Cricetulus griseus: one gene and its partner. Each later gene encodes a partner of the first gene's protein in a complex. Links are inferred from orthologs where the notes say so. Each region holds a gene or a part of one and is shown on either strand. Other genes may lie near its edges. The genes, in order: Prkaa1 and Prkag1.

Region 1 (3,815 bases):
TCAAATGGGGGTACTGTGCCTGGATTAAGCCACTCACTCACAGTTTCTCCACACAGCATGGAGAATGCCTATGATGGATGACCAGTTCACACAGGGTACACAATCTATCACTCTTGACTTTTACACTAAGAGCCAGGAAACTAATAACCTGAGTTTTAATTTAAAAAAAAAAAAAATCCCCTACCACTAAAAGTCTTTTCTATTAAAAGCACAGAATCAATCTCTTGAAATATGGATGATATCTTGGAAATCATCTCAGCCAAGAACCATTTTACTAATATAAAACAAAGCCAGAGAAAACAATGATTTGTTCAAGGAAACAAATGAACAGAAAGGTTCGGCCATTTGGGCACTCTACCCTCCCAACTTCAGTTCAGTGCTTTTCACTCTGCAGTTTCTCCTATTTCATCTGCGAGCATAACAGAGCAACAATTGCAATAAGCAAAACCAGAAAAGCAGGGACTAGTGGTACAGGCCTTCAATCCCAGCTACTCAGGAAGCTAAAGCAGGAGGGTCATAAGTTCAAGGCCTACCTGAGCTAGAGAGTTCAAGGACAACCTGGGTAACTTGTGAGACCTTCCTTCAAAATAACAAGTAAAAAGAGGGCTGGGGCTAGAGCTTATTGAAAAGGCCTGGATTCATCTCTAGCACCACAAAAGTAACACTAAAAGTGAAATCAAAGAGAAACTAGTTGGGAACAGAATACAAGTAGAAATAGTACTAGAGCAGAAATATAGAAATAGTAAGTATTCATTCACTTGGTCAAGTCCAAGAGTTGATATAACTATGACTGCAAAATTATCTAAATACCAAGAGAAAAATAAAGCTGGCTCCCGACCTCAAACTGTACTGATGTGTGTTAGATGACAGGTACATGTTATCCAGACATCTGAGCATGGTGCACACCTGTAACCAGCACTCAGAGATGAAACAAAGAGGACTGTCCCTCCAAACCAGGCCAGCCTACATAGAAGACCCTTTCTCAAAAGTAAATAACCATTCCATCATGTTGGCCAGAATATATCACAGCTCAAGCCTTTGTCTTTCTTAAACTCTGTAGGTGCTGACTTTGAGTCTGTAAGTAGTAATTCTAAATATCCTCCCATAATACTGGTTAACTGATTTGGAAGGACAGCCATAATCTTGTATTTATTTTCTTAAAGTACTTAATAGTAAATAAAACTACAGTAACATCAACCTTTGCTTTTCAATAAAAAATTTATGTTGCCAGAATGAACAAAGCAACAGAAATATGAAAGAAAATTATCACTTTAGAATTAAGCTGTATATTTTTAAAGATTTTACAGGACAATAATCATTTTCTACCTTGGGAGAGATGGGAGTGGTGATTGAAGACAGTGTTTTGTGTATGCTAGACAAGAACTTCACTACTGAACTAAATTCCTAGCCCCGGGATGATGAACTGTAAAAGAACAATGTACTACATGGAACAAGAATAACAGGATTCACAGTTGTCGGTGTCATGGAGCACAGAAGTCACATTTACTATTACTTCCCAGGAAAAAGCCAGGAAGTTTCATTAGACACAAAGGTTGAAGATGGAGAGGGCAGTGGGGGAGGATGATTAAAAACAAAGTATCTGTATGAAAGTATCATACTGGAGGCTAGGGAGATGACTTGGTAGATAAAGAGCCTGCCGCACTGCATAAGGACCTCAATTCCAATCCTCGGCACCTATGTAAAAGCCAGGCCAGGAGGTGCACATCTATAACCCCAACACTGAAGGCTGGAAATGAGAGGATCCCTGGGGCTTGCAGGCCAGTAAGTCTAGCCTAAGGGGCAACCTCCTGTTTGGAAAGAGGCCTTATCTCAAAAGTAAGATGGAGAGTGATGGAGAAGGCAGCTGACATTGACCTCTGCTGCCCTCACCCCATGTACACATGGGTGGGTGAGGAAAAGGGGGAGGGGGAGGGAGGGAGGGAGGAACTTACTACTTTTCATGCTTAGTTTTAATTCAAAACAAAAGAAAAGAAAAAACTATAAACCAAATTAGTTAAACAGGTATACCATATTACCTCTATGGGTTTTTGTGTACATACCATCAATACTACGGAAATCCAGTAAGTAAGTCCGACTATCCACTTGGTATAGCTGTAGACTCATTTTGGAAAATGTGCTTGTCACGGGGTTCTTCCTTCGTACACGCAAATAATAGGGGTTTACAACCTAGCATATGATATGGACAAAAACAAAGGCACATCCAATCAATTCTTCTACAAAAGACTTTTTGTCTGCAGGTTTCCCAAATGTGTTAGGTAGAATGCTTGCCTTCTTACCTTCCATTCATAATCCAATTGCTTGATTGCTCTACAAACTTCTGCCATAATATCATTTGGCCGACTTTGACTTCTAATTCCCAAATGCCACTTTGCTTTCCGCACACCTTGGTGTTTGGATTTCTGTGGGTTTAATTCATCAAGGGTGTGCCGTGCCCTTGGTGTTTCAGCAACCAAGAATGGTACCCTTTCAGGATGTGGCCGAGTTAAATGGTGGTCGTCTAGGAAAGAATCAGGTGGGCTTGTTGCCAAGTAGAAATCTTTGGCTTCGTTCATTATCCTCCTGTTATCAATTATGAGGTGGTAGGCAACTGCCAATGGGTCCTGGTGGTTTCTATTGTAAAGGCAGCTGAGAACCTCCTCCTCCGAACATTCAAACTTTTCACACACTTCTTTTAAGGCTTCATCATCAATCATGGTTGAACTGTATGATGGATCCTCCGGAAAGAGATATTTTGGAAGGTCCTGTTTAAACCATTCATGTTCCCTAAGAGGAAACAGCAGTGTGAGGGGAAGAATTTTGAGTAAAACCAAGAATAAAAACAATAACTTTCAAGAGTTTAAGAAATGAATTAATTTAATTTCTACCCACACTATATTACTACCATTTTTTTTTTAACTTTTTCTTCTTCTAGCTCATACTTCACTGAGTATGTTGAGAAAAATGTTGTAGCCTGCTGCTAGGGGTTTTTTTGGGGGGGAGAGGCGGCGGGGGGGGGGGGGGCTCGGCATTAATACAGGGTTTCTCTGTATAACCCTGACTGTCCTGAAACTCACTCAATAGACCAAGCTGGCCTCAAACTCACAGAGATCCACCTGCCTCTGCCTCCCGAGTGCTGAGATTAAAGGCATGCAGCACCACTGCCCGGCCCTGGCACTAATTTTTAAGGATTGCTGCAGCCAAATGAAAAGGTATGTCTACCCAAATGACAATGACAAAGTACAGATTTTTTTCCAGCTCAGAAAGAAACTATGTTGTGTAGCTTCACTGTATTCTCTTGTTTATACTGCCTCATGTTACATGAAAAAAAAAAAAAAAAAAACTTCTTACTGTATAATTAGTTTCAGGCTAAGCAATTCATACACATAAAATTTATCCTCATCCTCATGACCCAATTCTGTATGACTCAAAAGGCTATTCTCTGAATGATTCCCTATTATATCATTTAACTGCACATATAAATGGATATTGAACCATATCAAGAACTATGCTAAAACTTAAAAAACAAAAATGAAAATGAAAACAACACCAAAACACAGAAGAAAATACCCCAAAGAATAATGGTTATTGTCTAAGAAACTGACCAAAAGTATTATTTTATTCTCTTGTTTTTGTTTTGTTTTGTTTTGTTTTGTAATTTTAAGGGCATTTGTTTGTTTCCAAATGGAGACTGGTCTTGAGACAGAATCTCACCATGTAGACCAGGCTGGAATCAAACTCACTGCCATCCTCCTTCAGCTTCCCAAGTACTGGAATTATGGCTGTGTGCCACCATGCGTAGCATTTCTATCAGATTT
Region 2 (3,815 bases), about 56 Mb from region 1:
TCTCAAATGTATACATAATGGTAAGGGAAGCTAAAAGTCCTTTCTCCCCCCCACCTCCGGTCTCCTCTAGTTCCAGACAGTGGGTATGGAGCTCCTGAGGGAACACACTCGGTTCTTCCAGGATTTCATCTGATTCCCAGAGCTCTCAGGAGGCAGTGAGGGGGCCATCTTCCCTGGCGCTGCCTGTCCCTCCCCACGCTCAGGGCTTCTTCTCTCCACCTGTGAGCACCAGAGCCTGCAGGATATCGGACAGCGATACGATGCCCTTGACCACGTCGTTCTCATCCACCACCACCAGACGGTGAACCTGGCACAGAGCAACGAAAAGTAATGTGAGTGCCAACTTCAGTTAGGATGAGTGCCTTAGCCCCTGCCCTCTTTGAAAACACCACTCTCAAGGCCACTCCCCACTAGCTGCTTGAGAGGGGCTGACTTCCTACCTCTGCTTCCACCAGTCTATTAATGATAGTCTCCAGAGTCTCCTGTAGATAGCACTTGAGAACACCCTCAAAGTAGTGAGACCGGTGTTGTAGAGCTTTTGTCACAGATATATCCAGGTTGTTATAGGTCTTTTCTGCTGCCAAATTCTGGAGGTGGGGAGATGGGCTTGAAAGGGGACCAGTTCCTAAGCCCTGGACCAACCCAACCTCACTAGAGGAACTGAGGGCACTCCTTAGCTCTGCCCACAAGCCACAACCAGTCCATTCAGCTACTGTCCAGATAGGGTTCAAATTGTAGAAGCATCTGACACCAAAGAGCCAGCCCCCTTTTGTTCCCTCTCCACATTCAACACCCCCCCTTCTCCTCCCTCCCAGCCCCTCCACTGTCACTCACAATCACATCAAACTTGGAGTAGATGTCCACAACACGCCCTAGGGAGACAGAGGCAGCTCAGAAAAAAAACAAACAAACAAACAAAAAAAAACAAAAATCTGGTAGCCAAAGCTCTTACTACCCATAGGTTCACCCTTTAGGCTGAGCTGAGGGGAAAGCAGGTTTTCCCAGAGCCACTTGACCCCCTAGAAACCTCCCTCTTCTTTCCCAATATCTCACCTTTCTCATCCACCACAGGCAGGGCAGAGACTCGGTGCTGTACAAAGATGCCTAGAGCCACATAGACAGGTGTGGTAGTACGGACCATAGCAATGTTGGCATAGGTGCCAATCTGTAGCTCTTCCAGAGACTTAGACATGAATTCTGGCTTGGGGAACTCAGTGATCTGAGGGAAGAAGTGGCTTTCAGAAGTACTGGCTTTCAGGGAGCTCTGTGGTAGAGCATGATGTGCTGGGTTCAATCCTCAGTACCCAAAACTCTGACTTGCCTTGACTTTTAAGGCCCCCCAAACTGTTGGATACATGCCTCCAATCCAGCAGATAAGAGACTAAGGAACTGGGCTAAAGTCCACTTACAAACAGCTTGAGGAACTTGAGGATGCGCTTGTGAGTAAGGATGTACAAGGTGTTGCCTGACTCTGGGTCAATGACTGGAAGCCTGTGGATCTTATTTTGAATTAATGAAGAGACAGCATCGAACAAGCTGTGAAAAGGTAGAAGGTCATACTCAGCCTCCACAGTGCTACAGACAAACTGTACAGCTCCTTAGAGTGTGCTTATGGACAGGGAACATCCATGGTCAGGGGAAGGGGCAGTGCTCAGACTTAAAGTAGTGTGATGTGGCTGGGGGTGGTGATGTACTTGGAACGCCAGTATGAGGATGGGCAGAAGAATCCTAAATTCAGGCCAGCCTGAGCTCTGTAGTAAGTCAAGGCCAGTCTTGGCTATGTATGAGACATTTTTCTCCAAAACAAAAAAAGCATAGCTGTATGCACTGGAAGAAGTTTTCCTTCTTTCATGTCCCTCCCATGGGCCTTCGGGTGTTTAGACATAAACACATAGCCAGAACTTAACTTACCTGGCATTTGGAGAAATGCAGACAAGGGGCTTAAAGGAGTCCTGTAGGTATACCTCTGAAGGGAAAGGGGGTAGTTCACAAAACACTGCCACATAAAAGTGTTTCCCAGGAAACCCTCCTTATCCCTTCATCTTTCACAACCTCCAATTCTTTATGTACCTCTCCAAGTTTCTATCTTGTGTTCTTCCAGTTCATAGATCTGCACCTAGAAGCAGAAGCAGCAGATCTGAGACTTGCTCTCCCCTCTTCATTAACTCTTTTCTTGGAGGGAAAAAAACAAGGCAGGAGGGGCCCATAGGCAACAACCAAAGATAGGGATGTGGTTTGCTTTGGAAGCTCAGGTTCCTTACCAAGGCCGACTTATAGTATCGGTGCAGGATGTTGATAAAGTCAGTGATGGTCAGCATGCCTAGAAGGCAAGACAAGAGCCCTCAGCACTGTTCAAGGCTTCTCCCTCTGACTGGAAAAGATGCCGACGGGCGTCTTCCAGAAACTTCTGCTTACCCACAAAACTCTGCTTCTTACTATCCCACAGAGGGGCAGCCCGAACACCGTTAGTCACCAGGGCAAAGAAGGCTTTCTTTACCTATAGTCAAAAGAGTGAGAGCATGAGGTGGTGAGAAAGAAGGGGTTGGCATGTGGAAGTACTAAGTATGATGATGGGCACTGAACCAGTGGCTCCTCAGAATGCAGAGGAGGAAAGGGGCTCCACCCACCTGCAGGGAAGTATCAAACACAACCAACTTGGAACTTGTGGGGATCAGGTCGTAGCAGCGATGAGACTTCATAAAGGATGTATACACACCATTGTTTGATTCCGGAGTCTCTGCACAGGGGGAAGAGTTGGGAAGTTGGTGTCTTTCTTTTATGCAAGAACTCACAATCAGAAGAGACAGAAACCAAAAAAGAGTTCTAGTTTCTCAGCTTTGAAGAGATTTTTGTTTTGCTTTTATTGTTTCTCATCTTTTCATTAGAGCTTTTCTTCCTAGTTAACATATTTTCCTTTGTCTTTTCTTAACGAAGATGAGATACCAAACAAGCTTCTTTATATTTGTTGAAGATCTGCAGGTGAGAAATTCATGGTTCAGGAAAGGCCATTTCTAACAACACTAAGTGTTCAATGAGCTTGCCCAGAACACTCAGAATCACAGTGTGAGTCAGAAATCCCAAAGGGAGAGCCTGGCTACATTTACCTCCATTCTCCTGATTTACAAATTTCCTTTTTTGCTTTTAAAATTAACTATAAGGTTTTGTTTGTTTTTTTTAAAATAATCTGTGTGTACTGTGTATGGGTGTTTCACTTGTATATCTGTATACCAAATGTGTGCCTGCTGCTTGTTGAGGCCAAGAGGGTGATTGATTGTTGGAACCCCTGGAAGTTACTGACAGTTGTAAGCTGCCATGTGGGTGCTGGGAATTAGACTTGAGTCCTCTAGAAGAAAAGCCAGTGTTCTTCTGCTGAGCCAACTCTCCAGTCCCTTCATTTTCTTGAGACAGAGTCTTGCTATGTAGCCCAGGCTTGCCTCAAGCTTGTAATAAACTTACTGCCTTAGTTCTCTAAGTGCTGAATTTGGGGCATGCAACACCATGCCTGGCAGCCTGTGTTTTTGCTTTTTGGGGTTTTGTTGTTGTTTTTGTTTTTCTAGACAGGGTTTTTTTTTTTTTTTTTTTTTTTTTTTTTTTTTTTTGTGTGTGTGTGTGTGTGTGTGTGTGTGTGTGTGTGTGTGTGTGTGTGTGTGTGGCCCTGGCTGGCCTGGAACTAGCTCTATAGAAGAAGCCGGCCTCAAACTCACAGAAATCTGTCTGCCTCTGCCTCCTGAGTGCTGGGACTAAAGGCATGAGCCACCACCGCCTGGCCCCCAGTCTGTGTTTTTTAACTGCTTGCTCTAAACTGGAAAGGCAAC

What was found.
Region 2: the proteins of Prkaa1 (region 1) and Prkag1 are in contact, whole or in part, in a crystal structure (PDB 6C9H), measured with the Homo sapiens proteins. The link is inferred for Cricetulus griseus from reciprocal best matches to the Homo sapiens genes PRKAA1 and PRKAG1. Residues at the interface, in NP_006242.5 of Homo sapiens: Ser295, Ser296, Thr297, Met298, Ile299, Asp301, Glu302, Lys305, Arg342, Glu347, Ala348, Phe351, Tyr352, Leu353, Arg369, His371, Pro372, Glu373, Pro376, Phe377, Asn449, Val451, Thr452, Thr536, Pro537, Arg538, Gly540, Ser541, His542, Thr543; in NP_002724.1 of Homo sapiens: His36, Asp40, Leu41, Ile42, Pro43, Thr44, Ser45, Val50, Leu64, Val65, Gly68, Val69, Arg70, Trp75, Ser77, Lys78, Lys79, Gln80, Phe82, Pro158, Glu159, Ser160, Gly161, Asn162, Lys170, Arg171, Lys174, Phe175, Leu178, Phe179.

What each region holds. Positions count from the first base shown.
Region 1 is NC_048595.1:339,154,149-339,157,963, reverse strand, and holds part of Prkaa1 (5'-AMP-activated protein kinase catalytic subunit alpha-1), read right to left. Parts: intron 2,785-3,815; coding exon 2,298-2,784; intron 2,188-2,297; coding exon 2,061-2,187; intron 1-2,060. UniProt on the Homo sapiens protein: Catalytic subunit of AMP-activated protein kinase (AMPK), an energy sensor protein kinase that plays a key role in regulating cellular energy metabolism.
Region 2 is NC_048595.1:395,285,454-395,289,268, forward strand, and holds part of Prkag1 (5'-AMP-activated protein kinase subunit gamma-1), read right to left. Parts: intron 2,738-3,815; coding exon 2,628-2,737; intron 2,498-2,627; coding exon 2,416-2,497; intron 2,321-2,415; coding exon 2,262-2,320; intron 2,117-2,261; coding exon 2,071-2,116; intron 1,967-2,070; coding exon 1,912-1,966; intron 1,537-1,911; coding exon 1,410-1,536; intron 1,220-1,409; coding exon 1,054-1,219; intron 873-1,053; coding exon 835-872; intron 588-834; coding exon 441-587; intron 308-440; coding exon 200-307; 3' UTR 1-199. UniProt on the Homo sapiens protein: AMP/ATP-binding subunit of AMP-activated protein kinase (AMPK), an energy sensor protein kinase that plays a key role in regulating cellular energy metabolism.